3 linked regions of the Tamandua tetradactyla genome follow. The protein of the gene in region 1 interacts with the protein of each later gene in a pairwise test. Links are inferred from orthologs where the notes say so. Each region holds a gene or a part of one and is shown in the gene's direction. Other genes may lie near its edges.

Evidence for each region.
Region 2: the proteins of SUV39H2 (region 1) and APPL2 interact in binary tests that used the Homo sapiens proteins (3 or more experiments, as listed by UniProt). The link is inferred for Tamandua tetradactyla from reciprocal best matches to the Homo sapiens genes SUV39H2 and APPL2.
Region 3: the proteins of SUV39H2 (region 1) and RASSF1 interact in a two-hybrid assay, tested with the Homo sapiens proteins (2 studies listed by BioGRID and IntAct). The link is inferred for Tamandua tetradactyla from reciprocal best matches to the Homo sapiens genes SUV39H2 and RASSF1.

Annotation. Positions count from the first base shown.
Region 1 is NC_135333.1:47,805,475-47,812,468, reverse strand, and holds the start of SUV39H2 (histone-lysine N-methyltransferase SUV39H2), read left to right. Parts: upstream 1-3,957; 5' UTR 3,958-4,026; coding exon 4,027-4,072; intron 4,073-4,296; exon of another isoform or gene 4,297-5,344; intron 5,345-6,495; coding exon 6,496-6,641; intron 6,642-6,994. UniProt on the Homo sapiens protein: Histone methyltransferase that specifically trimethylates 'Lys-9' of histone H3 using monomethylated H3 'Lys-9' as substrate.
Region 2 is NC_135333.1:175,339,598-175,346,991, reverse strand, and holds the start of APPL2 (DCC-interacting protein 13-beta), read left to right. Parts: upstream 1-4,386; 5' UTR 4,387-4,560; coding exon 4,561-4,614; intron 4,615-7,394. UniProt on the Homo sapiens protein: Multifunctional adapter protein that binds to various membrane receptors, nuclear factors and signaling proteins to regulate many processes, such as cell proliferation, immune response, endosomal trafficking and cell metabolism.
Region 3 is NC_135341.1:35,759,887-35,767,838, forward strand, and holds the start of RASSF1 (ras association domain-containing protein 1), read left to right. Parts: upstream 1-4,944; 5' UTR 4,945-5,011; coding exon 5,012-5,261; intron 5,262-7,132; coding exon 7,133-7,248; intron 7,249-7,326; exon of another isoform or gene 7,327-7,850; coding exon of another isoform or gene 7,851-7,952. Other genes in the region: ZMYND10 (zinc finger MYND domain-containing protein 10), read left to right, coding at 697-788, 1,057-1,165, 2,017-2,133, 2,254-2,307, 2,426-2,563, 2,664-2,752, 2,850-2,950, 3,273-3,445 and 4 more. UniProt on the Homo sapiens protein: Potential tumor suppressor. Required for death receptor-dependent apoptosis. Mediates activation of STK3/MST2 and STK4/MST1 during Fas-induced apoptosis by preventing their dephosphorylation.

The DNA of each region.
Region 1 (6,994 bases):
TCCCCATCTTTAATTTGGGAGCAGATTTGTTGAAGTTCAAGTTTCCAACAAAAAGACTGAACGCTATAGTTTCTAATTCTTCTGTTCCTTGACTTCAGGAGTGGCTTTTCGCTTGGACATTTTCTTCTTTTGTTTTCCAGGTGCTTCTTTGACAGGCTCTTCCCCTTTCTCCCGTCTCCCCCTCCTCATCATTCTCATCATTCTTCTTGTCATCATCCTCTTCCTCCTCCTCCTTCTCATCCTCTTCATCTTCAGCCATGCTCTTCGATTCACAGGAACAGCTTTTCTAGGAGATTTTTTTCCTTTGGCTGGTGTAGTCTCCACAGCTGCTTCTTCAGAATCATCATCTTCATCATTGTCATCCTCATCTTTGTCTTCATCATTTTCATTTTCATCATCGTCATCCTCTGAGGCAGAAGTAGTAGTGGCTGCCTTTATCACTGCTGGCTCAGATTCATCCTCATCCTTGTTCTCTTCCTTGCTGTCTTCATCATCTTCCTCATCCCTGTCATCCTTCTTGGCATTTTTACCATTCTCTGCCCCCTTGGCTAGGGTCAGAGCTCCCGTCTTACCAGGAGTCGCCACTACCACTGCCTTGCCAGGTGTGGCTTCTTCTTGGCAGGTGTTGGCTGGTGTAGTTGTCTTCTTGGCAGGTATGGCTGCTGCTTTTTTGCCAAGGGTTACAGCTACCTTCTTGGCAGGTGTGACAACTGCAATCTTTTTTGTTGGGGAAACCACCATCTTCTTTGCTGGAGTTGTGATGGCCTTCTTGCTTTTTTTTCTGAGGAATAACAATCTCTTCTCCACTGCTATCATCTTCATTTGCTGACATTTCCTCATCATCACCATTTTCTTCTACCTTCTTTGGAGGAGGAGTCATTTTCTTGGCGTTACCTTGATTTTTACCAGCTTTCATGAGCTTTACCATGATAGTGGCTTATGATGGTGGAATGTGGGGCAGACAAGTAGCGCAGAGGAGCCCTGAGAAACATAAGCAACATTGATGGGGGCCACGGCTACTGAGGATGCCAGAGCACAGCCCTTGACTGCCAGCTAGAGCTCAAGACTGAGCCAAAACACCCCAGTTAATACTCTGAAATTTCTGGCGGGCCATAAAATATTTAACCACAAACTAAAGCTTTTATATGCCTAAGAGTTTTTAAGGATAAAAAAAATATGATCCAAGCACAAAACAAATTCTAAGGGAACATCTCGGGATTTCTAAAATGACAGCGAATGAAATTATTACATAAAAATGTAATATTTATAACAATATTGTTCTATTTCTTTGCTTAAGTTCTTTTGCTCCTTTTTAACTCTGCTCTCACCACAGACCTGTGAGTAGTTGTTAATTTGTAGAGAATAGCATGGCATGTATTATTTCTGTTTATAGATGCACAAATAGATTCACAGGAAGTAAGTAATTTATCCAAGGCTTCACAAAAGATAACTGGTGAATTCTGAACGAATAATATTCAGATGCCTTTTTTGTAAATTTAATTTGTATTGACTGCTTACTCTTCTAAGCACAATACCTACAACATTACTTTGAACTTTACATTTTTAATCCATTGTTCATTGTATTTTTCTTTGCCTCTCAAAGAACATTTATTTCATTGGAAGAGGAAACACCCTTTGGGCTTTCAGAAATCATGTTTTCTCTTGTCTTTATGAAAAAAAAATGGAGGGAGGCATAATTCTACACATGGCCCTTGAAGATATAGGTGTCTTTTAGTGGCTTTTTGTCTCTGTCTCCATTCATTTATGGAGGGTTTACCAAAGTCCTTAGACATTTTATTCTTGGGACCCCTTTTGACACTCTCACAAATGAATAAAATACCAAAGAGCTTTATTATATATATTTATATTTATCATATTATGAATTAAAACAGAGATTTTATTTTAAAATGACCAGTTTTAAATAATATTACTTTCAATATAAATAGCATTTTTATGAAAAATAAAAAGTTTACTGGCAAAAGTGGTATTGTTTCTCATTTTTCAAAGTTTTTGAATGTCTGGCTTGATAGAAAATAGCTGTAATCTCACATCTGGTTCTGCAGTCTTTTGCAACATCCACGTTGTATAACCTGGAAAGCTCTTATGAGAGAAGAATAGTAGATAAAAGCAGATAACATCTTGGTATTTTTATGAAAATAGTTTCGAACTTGTGAACCTCCTCCAGGGGCTCAAGGTCCCCATGTCATACCTTGAAGATTGCTGCTCTGGATAGAAGTGAGAATGCTGAAGGAACAGGACCTAATTCATGCCCTGAAAGTGATAGGATTCAAGGCTAGAAAAATAAAGGAAAAGTCAATTTACAAAACAGTGTAATACATTCATTCTATACATTTTTATTGAAAAATAAAAACAGACAAGTTAATTGCACATTTTGGTGAGTGTTTTTAAGGATGTAAAGGCAAGATAGAATGGGGGAAGATGGTAAGGTACCTCCTTCAGATAGAGTGAATAGGCCTCTGAAAAAGTGACATTTAAGCTGGCATTCAAGGACAAGTAGCCATGTGAAGGGAGGAAATGTCCTCTGAAGGAAGAAGAATTTAGAGTTGGCTGCCTTAGTTATTTACTTGTTTACTATCTGCTCCTCCCACTAGAAATAAACTCCATGAGGACAGACCAGAGTATTCCTTGGGAGCTATTCTATTCTCAGAATCTAGTCCCTGCATAGCACAAAGGAAATGTATGATAACAGATTTTGAATGAGTGGAAAAAAGGCCTGGAGGAGAGTGAGTGAGGGGAAACATTTAGTTCGGATAGAGGGAAAAGAGGTATAAGGAAAACCAAGAAAGAACTTCAGTAATGAAGGATGCTCGGGCACATTTGGGAAGAGCAATGAGTTCACTTGGAGAGGGGATGGGGAATAGAGAAGTCTGAGCAGTGAGTATACTTGGAGAGGGCTTGGGGAATAGAGAAGCCTGGGGAGCGGATGATGCGCTATCCAAGTTATGAAGGACAGGTAGGAGTAATCCTCAAGGAAGGAAAGGTAGGAGCTTTCTAGGCAGAGTGGTAAATGACGAAAGGCCAGTGAAGGTGGCAGGGAATATTTGAGAAAGAAAGAAATAAGGTAGAATGAAATGATGAGCAGTGAATAGGAACCAAATTACCACGGGCCTTAGATGTGATGCGACTGACTAGGACCTTTTATTCTTTGTTATCCATGTAATAAGATGCTCATTATAGAAACTGGGTAAATAAAAGCGAGAAGCCAAAAAGAAAACCCCTGATTATCTTTTATTTCCACTTATTCCTCTTCCATTTTTCGTACTATTCATTTATAGTTGTATATTTTGTAGGTTTCCCGGGGTTAGGAGGTTTGTTTAATGTTCTTTGGGGTTTCTAGGTTTACTGTTTTCTTTTTTCTTTTTCGGCTTATCAAACACTTCTGATACTAACAGCTTCATAAACATCTTTTTTTAGGTGGTGAGGCAGTATCTAATGAACCATTCCTTAATGTTCGACGTTTATATTCAGTATTTCAAATTTATACATGATGTTTTGAAATATTTAAGTTTTACATGAATTTTTAAAACTATTGGAGTTTGTCCAATGGCTTTCTACAAAAGACTTCGCAATATACTACTTTAGAAGCGTGGCCTGGTTGTCGTTTAAAGGCAGTAAGCACGGATGCGATGCGAAGCGGGGGTTCCTGCCGGCGACCCCGGGGCACCTGAGACCCCCTCAGGCCGGTTGCACCAGGATCTCGGACCGAACACCCACAGGGGCACTAAGAAAACAAACCCGAAGCACGCGAGACGCATCTAGCTGGGTGCAAACAAACTCGGAAAGCCCAGGTGGGACCTCGGACGCGAAGACCCCTACGACCCCTCCTTCCGTCCAGCTCTCTGCCTTGCCCACTTCCGGTCCCTGCCCCGCCCCCACGCTCGTCCCGTGGCGCACGCGCGACGCCAGCGCGCCGTGTGACGTTGCCGCGCCGCGGCAGCAGACCCGAGCGAACCCGCGGCGGAGGCGGGGCGGAGGCGGGCGACCCCGCGGCCCGCGCCAGTTTGAATGGGAGTCCGCAAGATGGCGGCGGCCGGGCCCGAGGCGCGCCGAGGTGAGGCCGGGGAGGGGAGCTGCTCACTGGGCCCCGGCCCGACCCGCCCCCGGCTCTGCCTCCCCGCGCCGGGCGACCCCGCACGCCTGGGCTGTAGGGTCGCGGGGACTCCGCAGGGCCACCTACGAGCCCCGGAACCTGACTCCCCCACGGCCTGAAGGCGTCGGTCGGGTCAGCCCGGCCCGCGCGCCTCCTCTTCGGGCCGGGGTCGGTGCCCTCTGGGGTGTCTCGCGGGTAACCGGGGCCGGGGGGCGCGCTGACTTCTTTGTGGCGGTTTGAACGGGACGTTTGCGTTGTGTTGATGCTTTAACTGGAAAGGGAGAAATGTGGGTTGTGTAACTTTCATCTTAATATCAAGAAAAAGAAGAAACAAGCGTACGCCCAATTGGGACGCAGTGGGAGGGGAAGCCCCTTAGTGGAGGATACCCCAGTAAGGGGCATATGGGAATGCGCCTCTGGCACAAGAACCTCGCGTGAAATTGAGGTGGACGCCAGAGAATTAGATGCCGATGCGTGTGCGTGTGGGAGTTATCAGAAAGGCTAGAACTTGCCACACATTCTAGAATTTAAAGGCGTTTTCAAGCACTCCTCTCCACCCACATAGATGAACTACCGTCACACAATCCCTGAATTTCCCTTCCTTTAGCAATGAATGGCTAAAATGTAAACTAGTGTTAGGTTTCTGTGATGGTGATGAAACATGTAATCTTGTCATCGAATTCTTTTTTTTTTAGGCGATTAGAGTATCGGAATTTTTACTAAATGTTTGCGGTTTTTTTATATATGTATTTTTTATCCTCAAAGATAGCATTTCCATCTAGGGTTTTGTCTTGAATCCTCATGTTACTTCAACCAGATAAAACGTTTAGGGATGGCAGACAAATACACCTTGGGTAAATACCAAAGAGGGCCCTCCTTTGCACATGGTTAGTGGAGTGAGGATAACTTTACACAAAGCATCCTCAAGTTGATTAGATGGAAAGCAGTTAAGGGATCACTTCTGTTCTACCACTCTGCTGTTCTTAAACCACCACCTCAAAGCAAACAACCCTTCCAGGGATTTCACTGTCTTGATTTACAATTATAAGTTTGAAGGAAGGGGCTTGCTGGAAATGGTGCTAAAGGTTTCCCACAATAAAGTCAGTCTCCTGGTGAGTTGAGGAGAGTGAGGAAAGGATGTAGTCAAGTCTGAGCCGCCGTGTTCTCTCTTCACTGGAAAATCGCCTCAAAACACAAAAGGTTATATCACCACTACCTTGGAGAGCTACTAAGGTATACTTCAGTTTACTTAAAACTTTTGTTTGGTAAACCAAATTTTTTCTAACCCTCACATTTTTTCAGCGAATCAGTGACCCAGCTAGGGATAGGGCAGAGGACTCCGGCCCCCTCTGGTGCTCACTCTCAGACTAAACCAAAAGCAAAGTTATTACACATTTCTAAACATCAGTTTTGTGTTAACCTAGATTTTAAATGCAGTTTGAAAGCATATGGTTTGCGGATATTTTAGGGTGAGATCTGCAACACAAATCAGTTCAGTCAGTTTCTGGCTTCTGTAAGATTAATTATGAATAGGTCTGATTTTCTTCAAGTTTGGTATATATATTATATAAATTGAATACTCTGTTTTGTAACACTTAGCTTTTTAAAACCATACGTGAAATGAGTACTGCAAAAGATTAGCATGCACTCTTTATTATAGCTCTTGGGTTTATTTACCTTAATGATAATACATTGCAAATAGGCAAAACAAAAAAGTTAAAATTTCACGCAACATTCCAAAGTGGGAAAAGTAGGATGCAGGGTGTATATGTTTTGTAACTATAGAGCTATATTTGAATTTATTTCAGTTCCCATTGTCCACTTAAGAAGAAGGAAAAAAGTTACTTTTTAATGGGTTATCAGATTGTGTTTTAAAGTATACTTTAGATGTATTTCTAACAATAATAAATATTGTCCTAGAGATCTAAGTTTATGAAAATATCAGTCATATTCTATTAAGAATATAATGGATAAGTATAATATCCTAGAGATCTAAGTTTCAGTCTCTATAGCGTTCATATATGCTATGTAGAAAATAATGGAAAAATAAAAAAACATTATCTATTGACTTTTGCATCTGTATGTAATCTCAAGAAAGCTTACAGACATGAAGTATTTTGTTCAAGTGGCTTAGTAGAAATTAATTGGCATCAGTTAAACATAGTAGGATAGAGAACTGTGAGAAAATCCGGAAGATGAATTTACCAAACTAGTCTTTAATGCTTAATTTTTTTCTTGAAGATGCATGATTGGTTTCTTGTCATGATTTTTTAGTCCTGTAAAATTGCCAGTTGAAGGGTGGGGATATAGAAGTGTTAAGTTTTTCTTTTTTGTTTTAATCAGTAGCTATTTCATTAGTAAAGAATTCTATTTTCTTATTGTAGCTTGGTGTGTGCCTTGCCTAGTTTCACTTGATACTCTTCAGGAATTATGTAGAAAAGAAAAGCTCACATGTAAATCCATTGGAATCACCAAAAGGAATCTAAACAATTATGAGGTGGAATACTTGTGTGACTACAAGGTAGTAAAGGTAAGGCAAATATCTAGCCTCTTAAAAGAGACCCAATCAGACTTTAGTATTTCATATTTCTGTAATAAAAATAACCTTAAAAACAAGCAAAGCTGTCCTTAGTATTTAATACTCTAAACCATGATAAATTTTATGTCTTATCATCTGTATTGCCAAATAACTTTCAGAAGATTTTGAAGGATAAAATGTTCTTGCATTAGAATATTTTAAGGTGCTTATATTATTCTGCATCCAACTCTTGATTATCTCTGGGTGGATTATCAGAGCAAAATGTTTTATTCCCAATTGGTTTCTCTTGTCATTCATTTTGCTCCTAGATCATATTTCTTTACTATCACCGAATCAAACGTGGA
Region 2 (7,394 bases), about 130 Mb from region 1:
CGCCTCCATGCCCTGGACGCGATGCCAGGTGTACAATCTTTCCCCACAGATGTCTGATGGCCTTTAACGCCTGTCCCGTCATATAGGCGGCCAAGAAATAACCTGCTCTCAGAGTGGAGGGGAGTCCCAGGCCTGGGCCCACAGATGGGGGAGGTATTCTCAGTCCTTTGTCTCTCAGCAATCAATGTAGGTGAGAAAGTGTAAAATTTTACCTGTAAAGATTAGTAGGGAAAAGAAAAATGTCTCCCAGATTCAAATCCAGAGGATCCAGTAGAGCCTTTATTAATTCCTTCATCTGCTCCACCTCTGCCCTATAACCAGGGAGCAGATAGATGAAGGATGAAGCTCCCCTACCTCCGCCTCCTCTTTTTAAACCTTAACTGAAGGTTAAAAAAAAAAGCGTGAAATAGAAATGGTTTCCTTTCCCTCACCATAGCTGCCAGGAAATTCAGTCTAGCCAGGATGCTCTCTAAGACCAGCAGCTGAGCCACTATAAAACTTCTCCCCATCCAGCAAGTGCCCACAGGAAAGGACAACAGGGAGACCCAAGAAGATTTATATATGTGAGTATCACATCCTCCACAATGAATTTATGTAACTGGGAAAATAATATCCCACTTGTTTTGGTTTACTAAAGCTGACATGATGTAATAAACCAGAAATGGGTTGGCTTTTACATTGGGAATTTATTAGCTTATGAACTTACAAATTGCAGGCCGTGAAAAATGTCCAAATAAAGGAATCAACAGGATGATACCTTCTCTGAAGACTGGCTACAAGCTAGCTTGGGCTGCTCTGTCACATAGGGAAGGCACCTGGCAGCATCTGCTGGTCCTTCTCTCCCAGCTTTCACTGCTTCCAGCTTCTGGCTTTAGTGGCTTCCTCTCAGCTTCTCTGGAGCTTTTTATGTGAACTTTTCTTAATTTCATCTCTATGTGTTTTAACCTTCTATAAAGGACCCAAATAAGAGGAATGTTTTAGTTTGTTAAATGCTCCTGGAATGCAATATACTAGAAATGGAATGGGTTTTAAAAAGAGAATTTATTAAGTTGCAAGTTTCCAGTTCTAAGACCAAAAAAATGTCCACATTAAGGCATCCAAAGAAAGATACCTTGACTCAAGGAAGGCTGATACCTGTCACATGACAAGGCATGTGGCTGGCATCTGCTGGTCCTTATTCTGGTTCCACTGCTTCCACCTTCTGATTCCAGCGCTTTCCTCTCTAAGATCTGTGGATCGTCACTTAGCTCCTCCGGGACACAACTCTGGGTTCTGGCTTGCTTAGTATCTCATGGGAAGGCATATGGTGATGTCTGCTGGGCTTTGCATTTCCAAATGCTAGTGTCAGCACTCCAACAATCTCCAAATGTCTGCATCTCTGTCGGCTCTGAAACAACTGTGTCTTCTCCAAAATGTCTCCCTTTTTAAAGAACTCCAGTAAACTGATCAAGGCCCATCTTAAATGGGCAGAGTCACGTGTCCATCTAATCAAAAGGTCACACCTATATCGAGTGGATTATATCTCCATGAAAACAATCTAATCAAAAGATCTCACCCTACAATATTGAATCTGGATTAGAAGAACAAGGCTTTTCTATGGTACATAATTTCAAACTAGCACAGGGATTAAAACCTTGAATAAGATGGGTCACATCTCAGTTGAAATAATCTTAACAAAAGATCCCTAATCAATAGGCCCACACCCACAGGAGTGGATTAAATTTAAGAACCTGATTTTCTGGAGTACATAACAGCTTCAAACTATTACAGCACTCTATAGAGAGGACCAAAAAAAAAGAAAGCCTAGTTTCTTTAATATTAGCAAACTATAACCCAAATTGGGCTAATACTCAGGCCTTATTAAATACCTTAATAACAAGAAAAGAATGGAGAAAAGTAACAGAAAAAGCAAAATGGAAAAAAAAAATTAAAAAAAAAAACAAAGAGAAACTCCTGACAACCCAGTGTATGCTAAAGCAAATTTAACAACACTGGTACGAAATCCTGAATGGAATCCAAATAATTCCGACAACTGGGCTAATCAGAGCATTATAAAAAATATATTATTCCAAGTCTGCAAAAAAGGGGTCCCTAAACCCATAAACAAAAAAAAAAACTAATGAAACAATATAAAAAAACTTCAGCTTTCCTTGAAAGAATTTATACTACGTATCAATATACACTAATATGGATCTGAAAAGTCCAAAGAATGCAAAATTTTAAATATAACCTTTATTACTCAGAGTGTTCCTGATATAAGGACAGTGCAAGAGAAAATAGATGGAGAACTAAGATTACCTATCTCTAAGTTAGCTGAACCTGCCTAAAAGTTTAAAACAGGACCAAGTTTTAAAAAGACCAGGACTTCAAAAGGCAAACAGCACTTCTCAGAGCTCTCCTACAAGAAACAACACTTTTCTCCCACCAGGAGCCCTGGGCAACAATACAGATGGAAAACTAATGAATTGACTTTTTTCTTAATACCAGAGATTAAATAAAAACCTAACATGATTTCCAACCAATCAGCTACTATAACAGGGGTGCCTGGTAAAAATGCAAAGAAATTATTTCTACAATTACTAGACTGCCTAGTTAAAACCATATATTTAAAACATACCCAGTTCCCTTGCTATGGATGTTAATCAAAAAGCCACATTAATGTTCACGAAGAAAGATAAACAAATCACCCCTATCCCAGAAGAAATCTTAAAAGCTATAAAACCAGTTGATGGAAAAACTGGACATGCAAAACTGATTCAAGTGAAATTCCAACAACCAGGAACTCCATGTTACATTAAACAATGTCCACAAACTAAAACCCTGAAAAGGAATTGTTCCATTAGTACAGGATGTGGATGATACCTTACTTAAGAGACATATCAAGAAAAAGAAAAAAACTATAGTTCTAATTAGTGAGTTATGTATTTCTGTGTTTTTTTGTGTCTAATTTCCTATTTGTTCAATGTATATTTTCCCACCTCTGGATGGTAACCAAAGATCAACAAACAAAAATGTTTAAAGACTATCCATATTAGGTAAAGATAAATAAGCGCTTATCTGTATAAACTAATACTCCTGGAGTTCAGAAGTTAAGGAAAGAGAGTTTCCGGGGCTCTTTAAACTCCTCCTCCTCCCCGCTCTACGTCCTGGAAAACCTAACTCCCAAACCCCATCGTAGGCTCAGGAGGTTTAGAAAAAATTCAACCTTTCATTCAGACCTATAAGCCTAGATCCTAGACCTTTTCATTCTAGACCGAGAGGCTTCAGGCAGCAGCAGTGTATAACGTTTTTGAGAGCCTGGGCTCTGAAATTTAAAGCTCAGCTCTGCAACTGCTGCTGAAGGTCATGTACAAATCTAATCAGTCAAAACTATTTGAAAGAAAACAACTAAGAAAAAGAAATCCCCCACCTTCTTTCTGTATCACCTATTCCTGCTTCCAGGGCCTTCTCCGGAATCTCGACCAAACCCGAGCAGTAAAAATTAAACCAGTGGAGGCTACAGGGGAATGGCTAGGTGAGAAAAGATCGGGGACGCGTAGGTTTGGCTTAAAACTTGTTTCCCCGGGCCTGGAGAGTAAAAGCGATGAGGACAGAAAGAATGTTACAGCATAGGCCATTTTTACATAGTTAGTCCTGTAATTCCATAATTTACAATTACTTTTTTCTACTAGGATCTTTGCAAAAGCAGCTGAATCGCCCGGCGGACGGAGCTTAGCCCGCACCGGACCCGGCTGGCTTCAGCCTCGGGCCTTCCTCACTTACAAGGATCTGAGGCCACGAAAAGGCCCACATCAAGGCACCATCAAGCGGTGCCTTCTCCAGGGCTAAGAATCTGATTATGAGCCTTCCCAAAGTGACAGGCCATGAGGCACTAGGGCGTGGAGACCAGCTCCGGCGTCGGCCGCAGCGCGCGGTCTCTGAGGAAAGCACGCCCGTCCACCACCGCACAACCGACTCCTGTCCCGCGCCTCGGCTCCTCAAGGCCTTCCGGGCTGCGTCCCTTCTTGGGTTTCCACGCTTCAGGGGCCCGCCGACGGCAATGACCAACGCTACTTGGCTCACCCCGTAGATAGAAGGAGCCCCGAACCGGAGCGCGAGCGGACAGGGCACCACACTTCCGGTGTCCCGCTGGGGACCCCACCCCACTTCCTGGCACCCGGCTCCGCTGAGGGGAGGGTTGGGCGAGGCTGGCCGGGGGCGGGGACGCGGACGGAAACGGCTAAGACACACTTCCGGCATCCCACTGGCGACCCCGCCACACTTCCTGTCGCCCGGCTCCGCTGAGGGGAGGGCTGGGCTGGGAGGCGAGCTGGGGACGGGGCGCGGACGGAAGCATGGACGCCACGCTTCCGGCGTTTCACTGCCACACTTCCTGTCACCCGGCTCCGCTGAGGGGAGGGCTGGGCTGGAAGGAGGGTTTGGGCCGGGGGCGTGGTCGGGCTCTGGCGTGCTGGGCCGCCCCACCGAGCGTCCGCGTCGTCGCGCGAGTCCGGAGAACCTTCCCGGGCCGCACTTCCAGCCCGCAGACCTTGTGTGCGCCCCTGGCCCGGCCCGCGCACCATGCCCGCCGTGGACAGGCTCCTTCTGGAGGAGGCGTTGCAGGACAGCCCGCAGGTACCTCGCTCCGGCCGGCCTCGTCGCGGGGGTGCGGTCGAGGAGGCCTCTCTAGGTCCCCTGGGGTCCAGGGCGGTCGGCGTCCTTCCCCAGGTCCCTTGTGGCTGAGGAGGGGTGGCCGGGAGGCTCGGGGGTGGAGGGTCTCCTCCCCGACGGGATTCATGGGGTCGGCATATCCCTGCTTATCCGAGCGGAGGCTGCCGGCCCGGGCAGGTTCGCCTCGGCTTGTTCTGTGTGGAGTGGGGACAGCAGCTGTGCCTGCCTCGTCGGGGCGTAGGGTTAGGAGAAAATGCCCGCAGAGTGAGGAGTCAAGTTTACGGTCCCGCTGCACCTGGCGGGGGCCTGGGACGGAGCGGTTGGGGTCTCTCCCCATGGGAGGCAGTGGTTGGGGTCTTCCCCCAGCGGGAGGCAGTGGTTGGGGTCTTCCCCTAGCGGGAGGCAGTGGTTGGGGTCTCTCCCCGCCGGGAGGCAGTGGTTGGGGTCTCTCCCCATGGGAGGCAGTGGTTGGGGTCTCTCCCCGCCGGGAGGCAGTGGTTGGGGTCTCCCCCAGCGGGAGGCAGTGGTTGGGGTCTTCCCCCAGCGGGAGGCAGTGGTTGGGGTCTCTCCCCATGGGAGGCAGTGGTTGGGGTCTTCCCCCAGCGGGAGGCAGTGGTTGGGGTCTCTCCCCCAGCGGGAGGCAGTGGTTGGGGTCTTCCCCCAGCGGGAGGCAGTGGTTGGGGTCTCTCCCCATGGGAGGCAGTGGTTGGGGTCTCTCCCCGCCGGAGGCAGTGGTTGGGGTCTCTCCCCGCCGGGAGGCAGTGGTTGGGGTCTCTCCCCGCCGGGAGGCAGTGGTTGGGGTCTCTCCCCCAGCGGGAGGCAGTGGTTGGGGTCTCTCCCCATGGGAGGCAGTGGTTGGGGTCTTCCCCCAGCGGGAGGCAGTGGTTGGGGTCTCTCCCCGCCGGGAGGCAGTGGTTGGGGTCTCTCCCCGCCGGGAGGCAGTGGTTGGGGTCTCTCCCCGCCGGGAGGCAGTGGTTGGGGTCTCTCCCCATGGGAGGCAGTGGTTGGGGTCTCTCCCCATGGGAGGCAGTGGTTGGGGTCTCTCCCCGCCGGGAGGCAGTGGTTGGGGTCTTCCCCTAGCGGGAGGCAGTGGTTGGGGTCTCTCCCCATGGGAGGCAGTGGTTGGGGTCTTCCCCCAGCGGGAGGCAGTGGTTGGGGTCTCTCCCCGCCGGAGGCAGTGGTTGGGGTCTCTCCCCGCCGGAGGCAGTGGTTGGGGTCTCTCCCCGCCGGGAGGCAGTGGTTGGGGTCTCTCCCCCAGCGGGAGGCAGTGGTTGGGGTCTCTCCCCGCCGGAGGCAGTGGTTGGGGTCTCTCCCCGCCGGGAGGCAGTGGTTGGGGTCTCTCCCCCAGCGGGAGGCAGTGGTTGGGGTCTCTCCCCGCCGGGAGGCAGTGGTTGGGGTCTCTCCCCCAGCGGGAGGCAGTGGTTGGGGTCTTCCCCTAGCGGGAGGCAGTGGTTGGGGTCTCTCCCCGCCAGGAGGCAGTGGTTGGGGTCTCTCCCCGCCGGGAGGCAGTGGTTGGGGTCTCTCCCCGCCGGGAGGCAGTGGTTGGGGTCTCTCCCCATGGGAGGCAGTGGTTGGGGTCTCTCCCCATGGGAGGCAGTGGTTGGGGTCTTCCCCCAGCGGGAGGCAGTGGTTGGGGTCTCTCCCCGCCGGAGGCAGTGGTTGGGGTCTCTCCCCGCCGGGAGGCAGTGGTTGGGGTCTTCCCCCAGCGGGAGGCAGTGGTTGGGGTCTCCCCCAGCGGGAGGCAGTGGTTGGGGTCTCTCCCCGCCGGGAGGCAGTGGTTGGGGTCTTCCCCTAGCGGGAGGCAGTGGTTGGGGTCTCTCCCCGCCGGGAGGCAGTGGTTGGGGTCTCTCCCCGCCGGGAGGCAGTGGTTGGGGTCTCTCCCCCAGCGGGAGGCAGTGGTTGGGGTCTCTCCCCGCCGGAGGCAGTGGTTGGGGTCTCTCCCCGCCGGGAGGCAGTGGTTGGGGTCTTCCCCCAGCGGGAGGCAGTGGTTGGGGTCTTCCCCCAGCGGGAGGCAGTGGTTGGGGTCTGTCCCCCAGCGGGAGGCAGTGGTTGGGGTCTGTCCCCCAGCGGGAGGCAGTGGTTGGGGTCTTCCCCCAGCGGGAGGCAGTGGTTGGGGTCTGTCCCCCAGCGGGAGGCAGTGGTTGGGGTCTCTCCCCCAGCGGGAGGCAGTGGTTGGGGTCTCTCCCCATGGGAGGCAGTGGTTGGGGGTCTCTCCCCGCCGGGAGGCAGTGGTTGGGGTCTCTCCCAGGGGTACATAAGGAGAGGAAACCACGGCACCCACCCGGGCGCACACGGGGAGCTGCGTTTGCGCGTTGGCATGTCCCTCAAGCCCCTGTGCTGGGAGGTGAAGGCAGGTGTGCAGGTAGCAGTGATGCAGTGACTGGAGTTCAATTCAGTGGCCCCTCCCCGGGAACTGTTGTTCTCCTACACTTACCTTTTCCCCAACTTCCTATCTGTGTTTCTGATGCTATGTCTTTGGGTCATGTAAATAAGTCTCTTCTCTAGATTCTCAACTAGGCAAAGTTAGAATAGATTCGCCTGTTCTTCCTTCACAGTCTCACCTGTCTTCTCCTCAGTACATTGTACCTCCCGGGATGCTCTTTAATGGATTTGCCTTCTCCCACTCTGCGTCTCTCCGGTTGGGAGTAAGTGGTCAAAAGGGCTGTGTGCACAGTTTTCTTGTTCCCATTCTTTGTGAGCTCTGTGTGTAGGCAAGGAACTGTGGTAACTGTGATTTTCTTTTT
Region 3 (7,952 bases), on another chromosome or scaffold:
AGATCTTGCAGGGCTGCTGGTAGGCTGCTTTGGACTTGGTATTCTGAGGGCCAAAGGCAGGCACAAAGAGATTTCATGCAAGTAAAAATGTCTGGTATATACTTTAAAAGATTCCTTCCTGCTCATGGGGCTCCAGGGTGGAAGTGGGTCCAGTAGGAAGATTGCTGGGAGGTGACAGCAGCCTGGACTAGGATGGAGAGAAGTTGTGGGCCCTGGGCAGTATTTCGGAGGCAGTATCAACAGGTAGAGCTGAGCTTGTGAGGTATGGAAGCCATGAAGCCAAGATGAGGAGAAATCGGATGCAGCTACAGGAGGCTACAGGAAGAGCGGGAGAGAGGAAGGACACAGTAGGAAGCAGTAGCCAGAGGAGCCTAGAGTTCAGGAGAGGCCCATGGGCCGCAGCCGATTTTGAGGGAGAAAGCGTTAGCAATCCAACCGAGTCACTATCCGCAGCTCGGCGGGCTAGGAAGGCAAGGGGCGGGACCCCGCCCTGCACAAACTGCCGGCAGGGGGCGGGGCCCCCGGTCGCAGTACGCAGGCGCGGAGCAAACCCGTCTCCATGGCGACAAGGACCAAGCTCCGACCCCAACTACTCTGCAACTGTCGTATCTTGGACTTAAGACCTACTGGAACCCGTCGTCCTTGACCGTGATCCCGCGTCAGATCACCTTTCTGCTCTCTGTCCCCGGCCTCGACATGGGTGACCTGGAGCTGCTGCTACCCGGCGAGGCTGAGGTGCTGGTGCGGAGTCTGCGCAGCTTCCCGGTGCGCGAGATGGGCTCCGAAAGGTGAGGCAGCCAGGTGAAGGGTTAGATGGAGTCATGGGGTCAGGGTCCTTGAAGGGGAAAACTTGGGCCAACTCTGGGGAGAGGAGTGGTGGGGTGGAGGGCCCACCCAGCCTCTCTGCGTGCAGAAGCAGAGATCTCAAGATGAGGATTAATGACTTCCAAGACCCCTCTGGTCCTTCAGGATCAGGATGGGCTTTATTAGGACCCAGCCAGCACCCCCACTCCATTACACATACATGTACCCAAATGCACACACCCTCTGGAGCAGGTGGAACCAGCAGCATGAGAACCTGGAGAAGCTGAACATACAGGCCATCCTGGATGCCACAGCCAGCCAGGGTGAGCCCATCCAAGAGCTGCTGGTCACTCATGGGAAGGTAAGCCGAGGTCACAGGCAGGGTTCCTGCCTTCACCCCACACCCCCACCTGCTCTATCCAGGAGTATCTCTGGCCTGTTACAACTGTCCTTCCCAAAGAGGAAGGAGCAGTGTGTGAGAGTTTCATTCTATACCACTATTGGGCAGGACCTTTGCTTGCCAGGCCCATGCAGGGCACAAGCTTATAAACAGGACAGTTGTGGATCTTAGGACAGCCTAGGATTCAGGGAAAGGGCCCAAGCACTAAAGGCATCCCTGAAAAGAGTGTAAGGCACTCACACACATAGTGGATGGGACCTTGCATGGAGGCAGCCTTCTCAACATGGGAGTGCAGAGTTAGGCACCAGCGATCTGCCTGGCCAGAACATGGGCCAGTAAGTGACCTGAGATATTACTTGATAAAAGGGTTCCCCTGCAAGAAAAAGAGGGAGCCCACTACTGTGGGGATAGGGCACTGTGAAGGGCCCCAAGTTAGGGAAAGGCCAAGGCACACAAGAATATCCGAGGTCAGGGACAAGAGGGAAGGCAGGAACAAGAAGGCCTGAGAGGGAGGTCAGATGGTGGAACAAAAGTATATGTATGTGGGGAGCAGGAAGATCCCCACTGCCTGGGGGCAAAGCAGGGGCCAGTCACTGGCAGCATGGGAGAAGACCCCACAGAAATGCTCCTCCAGGCAGCTGGAGATGAAAGTCTAAGGCTCAGGAGAGAGGTCAGGAAGGGTATTCATGGAACTTGGGAGAGTAAGGCGGCTCAGGCAAGTCTGAGACCTAGGTCAGGCTAGGCCAAGAATGGGGCATGGCTAGGCCAAGTCGGGCTCATCTCATCCCGATCCTTGCCCTGACTCCTCAAAGATCCCGACACTGGTGGAGGAGCTGATTGCAGTAGAGATGTGGAAGCAGAAGGTGTTCCCTGTGCTGTGCAAGTTGGAGGACTTCAAGCCTCAGAATACCTTCCCTATATACATGGTGGTGAGCTGGACCCTGGTTCCCATCCCCACCTACACCTTCAGAAAGCCCTGGACTAGAGGGCAGCTGGTGACTCCTAACCCTTTGTCAGCCTCAGGTTCTGTCCTCTGCTTTGGCTGACAGGTGCACCATGAGGCCTCCATCATCAACCTCCTGGAGACAGTTTTTTTCCATAAGGTAAGACACAGGTTCTGTCCATAGGCCACTGCCCCAGGCCAGAGCTGGACAGGAAGAGGGTTTGTCTCTGTAGGGAGAGCATCAGAGGCAGAAGGTTTTCCCTCCTCTTGCCTCCCAGGAAGTGTGTGAGTCAGCAGAGGACACCGTCTTGGACCTGGTGGACTACTGCCACCGCAAACTGACTCTGCTGGTGGCCCGGAGTGGCCATGGCAGTCCCCCTGAGGAAGAGGGATCCCAGGACAACACCCCCATGCAGGTGGACTGAGGTTCCCTGGGGCTGGCAAGGGCTGAATCTAGGCTTCACAAGTCCTAGGCAGGAAGGGGGTGGCCCAAATTGAGCACTTTGTGGCCTCCAGGAGCTACAGAAGCAGGCAGAGCTGATGGAATTTGAGATTGCACTGAAGGCCCTCTCAGTGTTGCGTTACATCACAGACTGCATGGACAGGTGGGCAGACTGGCTGGGTCTGGGTGGGGCCTGTACTTGAGGGTGAGGAAACAGAGCCTGCAGCCTCTGCTCACTTCCCCCCACTCCCGACCTCCAGCCTGTCCCTGAGCACCTTGAACCGAATACTCAGCACCCACAACCTGCCCTGCCTCCTGGTGGAACTGCTGCAGCACAGTCCTTGGAGCCGGCGTGAAGCTGGTAAAGGCCTCATCAATCTGCCTAAACCCCAACCCACTGCTTACAGGACATCCTCAGGATTGGCAGGGGTGGGCCCATAGAAAATACCAGGATGTCTCCCTCAGGTTGGGCCTAGATCTGGGCTCTCCAGCAGGCAAGGCCCATGTGTTCATTACTGAAGACTCAGCCTGCTCTGGGGCCAACAGTACCTCAACCCTGACAAGTCCTTGTGGTTCAGGCTTTTCCCACCATGCCCGGGCAGTGACCAGTCCACCATTCCACATGGCTAGCTCACTTAAAGATCATGCAATGCCTGCATCCATTGTTTTGGTTCCTCTCTCAGGCAAACTGCAGCGATTCGAGGGTGGATGTTGGCAGACAGTGGCCCCCTCAGAACAGCAAAAACTGAGCAAGCTGGATGGGCAGGTGTGGATTGCCCTGTACAACCTGCTGCTAAACCCTGAGGCCCGGGCCCGCTACTGCCTCACAGGCTTTGCCAAGGGTCAGCTGCTCAAGGTTGGGAGTTGCCCCAGGCTCCCCGACACCAGTCTTCTCTGCCCCAGCACTGCCCCCTCCATCCCACCCCATTCATCGCTGCCATTTGTCTTTGTACACCCACCTCAGCCTTTCCATACTTTGGACCTCAGGTCATGAAGCAGTCAATGGGGCTCAGGCCCCACAAGCATCCTCAGCCCAGCCTAGCCCAGCCCAGATCCTCCTGCTCCTTGGCCCTTTGGCCAGTATGTGCCTAACACAGCCTCCACCAACACCCTTGCAGCTTCAGGCCTTCCTCACTGACACACTGCTTGACCAGCTGCCCAACCTGGCAGATCTGCAGCATTTTCTGACCCACCTGGCCCTGGCTGAACCCGAGGCCCCCAAGAAGGACCTGGTGTTGGAACAGGTAGGCACTGGGATATTACTTGGGACCACTGTCCTCTTTGCCTTTGCTCCTCCCTGCTACTCTCTACTTCTCCCCCCAACCCACTCCACTCCCCAGATCCCAGAAATTTGGGAGCAGCTGGAGCGAGAGAACAGAGGCAAGTGGCAAGCCATTGCCAAGCACCAGTTGCGACATATGTTCAGTGCCTCAGAGCAGGACCTGCGGCTACAGGCACGGAGGTAAGCCCTGCTGAGCTGATAGAAGGGGTGGTAAAGAAGTAGGAGGCATGGCCTGGGAATGGGGGGCTCCCTATGTGCCCATCTGCCAGGCCTAGTCATGTCTTCCTGACCCTTCCCCAGGTGGGCTGAGACCTACCGACTGGATGTGCTGGAAGCAGTGGCCCCAGAGCGGCCCCGCTGTGCCTACTGCAGCGCAGAGGCCTCTAAGCGTTGCTCCAGATGCCAGAACGAATGGTATTGCTGCAGGTGAGGGTACCCTAGGATCCTGGAACCCTGAGCCCCACCTCCAAACACTGCCCTCCTCACTGGTCCATCTGTCTGCAGGGAATGTCAAGTCAAACACTGGGAGAAGCATGGAAAGGCCTGTGTCCTGGCAGCCCAGGGTGATAGAGTCAAATGAAAGTTGTGGCCGTGGAGGGCCGACCAACTCTGCCAGAGGAGCCCACCCAGAGTGCGCTCCTCAACCTAGAAACTTCAGCCTGGCCTCCTGTGTGGGTAGCGCCATTGGGTGGGGTAGAGCAGCTGACCATCCCCTGCCAAAGCAAAGCGCTCCCCACTTCCTGCCCCACCCTGGGACACTGCCTCAGAAAGCTGGGGCAGGAAGACTGGGCAGGATGTGGAGACCCTCTTCCTCTAGCAGAGTAAAGCAGGCCTCTAGAAACACGCTTGTCTCAGTGTGCTCTGTCGCAGTCGGGGGCAGAGGGGGTGGAGGGGGGGTGTGTTCATGTGGATGAGGGAGGCAAGGAAGGGAATGCGGGGATTTTGCCAGTCTCCCCACCCCAACTCCTCTCGGCTCCGCCTGCGGGCTGACGGAACCCCGCACCCAAGTTTCCGTTGCACAGCTCTCCTTGGCTCTCACCGAGCTCCGCCCTGCCTGAATCTAAGGGGGCGGTGTCGCAGTCGGGACCCGCCCGCCCGGCGCTTGCTTGAGCGCGCAACCCTGGCCAGGCCAGGCGGACCATGTCGGCCGAGCCCGAGCTCATCGAGCTACAGGAGTTGACACCCGCTCGCAGCCCCGGCCCCGGCCGTACCCGCCTGGCGCGCACCAATGCGCTTCGCATTGCGCCAGGCACTGCACGCTACCCCGAACGGCACCTGGCTCCTGGCCGTGGCCACCGTTTCCAACCGGCTGGGCCCGCCACGCACACCTGGTGCGATCTCTGCGGCGACTTCATCTGGGGCGTCGTGCGCAAGGGCCTGCAGTGTGCCCGTGAGTAGCAGCCCATTGCGCAGACGAGAACAGAACCGCCGCTGAGGGGGAGCGCCATCGCTCCGGACTAAGTCGAGGTGGAGGGGGGTGGCAGGAATGGCCCCACGGACCTGGGCCGTTATCTTGGGCTCCCATCGCGGGAGAGAGTGCTGACAGATGGTTCATCTTGCTATGCGCCACCTGCATCTGGGGCGGTTGGTCAGGGGCAGTTGCCTTTGAATTCCAAGCTGCTAATTTCAAGTTTCTTATCTTCCCTTTAAAGTGCCTTGGCCCTTCTTGAGAAAGGCTGTGAACCCATATCCCAGGCCTGCCCCTTCCCAAAGATTCACTTACCCAGATCCCACTAAAGAATACCCCTGTGGTGAAGGGAAGTTATGAAGGGAGGGGACCTGGGAAAGTTGAGAACGCTGGACAGGCCCCCTGCAAGCAGGGATTTTAAGTCTGTTCAGCAAACACCCACATGGGGCCAGTGAACCAGGTGCTGCAACATGGAATTCAGGGACACACCAGCCAGGCCTCTGTCATCCTGTGAATCACCATCACCGGCAAGCAGAGGTTGCTCTCCCATTTAAATCACCTGGGCGCTTTTACAGCCCTCCCACTCCCTATGCCTGGATCCCACCTCAGATGGGTTGCTGGAGATAGGCCCTATGCATCAGTAATCTTTTTGAAACTCCCCAAATCATTCTAATGTACAGCCTGGGTTGAGAATCACTGCTCCAGTCCATTCAGAAACCTAGGGATATAGTGTCAGGCCTGTGTGTGCACGGAGATCCTCCGTCCAATACAGGAGACTGCCCAGTATTCAGGTGACAGAAGCACAGAACTTATGATTGAATACAAAATATGAATGCTGCACCATTCCCAAGGAGAAATAAAGTGACCATGGAAACAAGAAATGGGATCGTTTTGAGTGTGTTTTTGAGATAGAGGCAAGGGAAAAATCAAGAATTGAGTTGGGGGTTTGCCTTAAACTGCTGGAGGAATGGTGGCAATTTCCACTGAGATGTGGAACTCCAGTGAATCGAAGAGGTGAGGTAGAGGAAAAGTGAGTAAAACTTTGGCCATATTCGGTCTGAAGTGTCTTTTAAACATTCAAGTGAATATGCTGATACACAAGATTTGCTCTGAGAAGAGAGGTCAGTGCCTGATGGAGCCTTAGATCTGGAAAGCAAAGCAAGTGGATAAGATAGGGGTAGTGAGAGTAGACAGAGGAGGGCAGCCATCAGGACTGAGCCCAGGCACTCCCCATTACGAGATCAGCAAGTTGGGGCAGAACCAATAAAAGAGCTGAACAGGAGTCGTGGAGGTGAGAGAAAAACCAAGAGAGTATGGGCACCTAGGAAAAGCAAGAGTTAAATAATACCGAGGAGGTAAGGGTGGAAAACTCAATCTCGCAAGTTGCCAAGGACCCTGGCCAGGGCAATCAATTCCGTGGAGGGAGGGGCAAGCCTGGAGTGGGTAAAAGAGGGAAGGTGAATAGTCAGATGCATAGAGATAAGTTTTGGAGTGAGGGGTGTAGAGACAGAAGACAAAAGACCAGAGGCGGTTAGGGATTTCTGTTTTTCCCTTAAGTAAGCGAGGGGGAAACAATATGGAAGGGGTAATCTCATTGCTAGGTGCTTGAGAGCCATCTATTGAGCAGACCTAGGTCCCTAACCGCCAGTGGCCTTCCTGCCAGTTTCTAAACACCCAGAGGCTGACATTAGAGTCTGTGTGGCAGCGGGTGGAAAATGAGACCCGAGAGAAGACCAAACAAGCAGAGCCCGGGGAATGGGCCCTCCACCCGGGGGCTTCCTTTGGGTCCCCCTGGGCGCTTCTCCGAGGTGAAAGTGGGACTCCCTCTGCCTTACGGCCCGGCCTTTCCGCAGACTGCAAGTTCACCTGCCACTACCGTTGCCGCGCGCTCGTCTGCCTGGACTGCTGCGGACCCCGGGACATGGGCTGGGAGCCAGCGCTGGAGCGGGACACCAACGTGGTGAGCGCGGTACGGGAAAGGGCGGGGCAGGGGGCATACGGGGGGGACACAGGCGCGCGGACCGTGGACGGGCCACAGTGCAAGCGTTCACAATTGCGGCCCGGACGCTACCCGCAATGAGCGTAATAACAGCGGATTTCCGGTGGCAAAGAGTCGCTGGTTCAGCGCACGGGTTCGAAGGGGCGTCTCCGGTGCGAATCTTGCAGTGACCCTAGGAACCCGAAGCCAATGGCGGCTCGCCATGAGCCGTCCCGGCACAGCACAGGCGCACTTCCCGCGCCTCCCTCACTTGCATCCGGTCCAGCGGCCACGCGGGTGCACATGCGCACACGCTCCCACACGTCCCCTACGGGTGGTGGGTCAGCGAGAAGGATCTGAGCTGAGCTGCCTGGGCGATGAGGTCATCCTGAAGGCGAGGCGGGCGTGGCCCCGCCCTTTGACGTTCCTCAATAAGAGAAGAGCTGAGTCTGGGCTGTCTACGTTTCCGCCTTAACGGTTGTGGCGTGGACACTGATCTGGCGCACGCGCGCACGGATACAGGCGCGCACGCGTCGGGTTGGCAGCGGAAGGCGAACCGGGCTAGTGAAGCGATCAGGCGTGCTCGCGCAGCGATGGGCGAGGCGGACGCGGGGACACCTTCTTTCGAGATGACCTGGAACAGCACTACAAGCAGTGGCTACTGCAGCCAGGAGGACTCGGACTCGGAGCTCGAG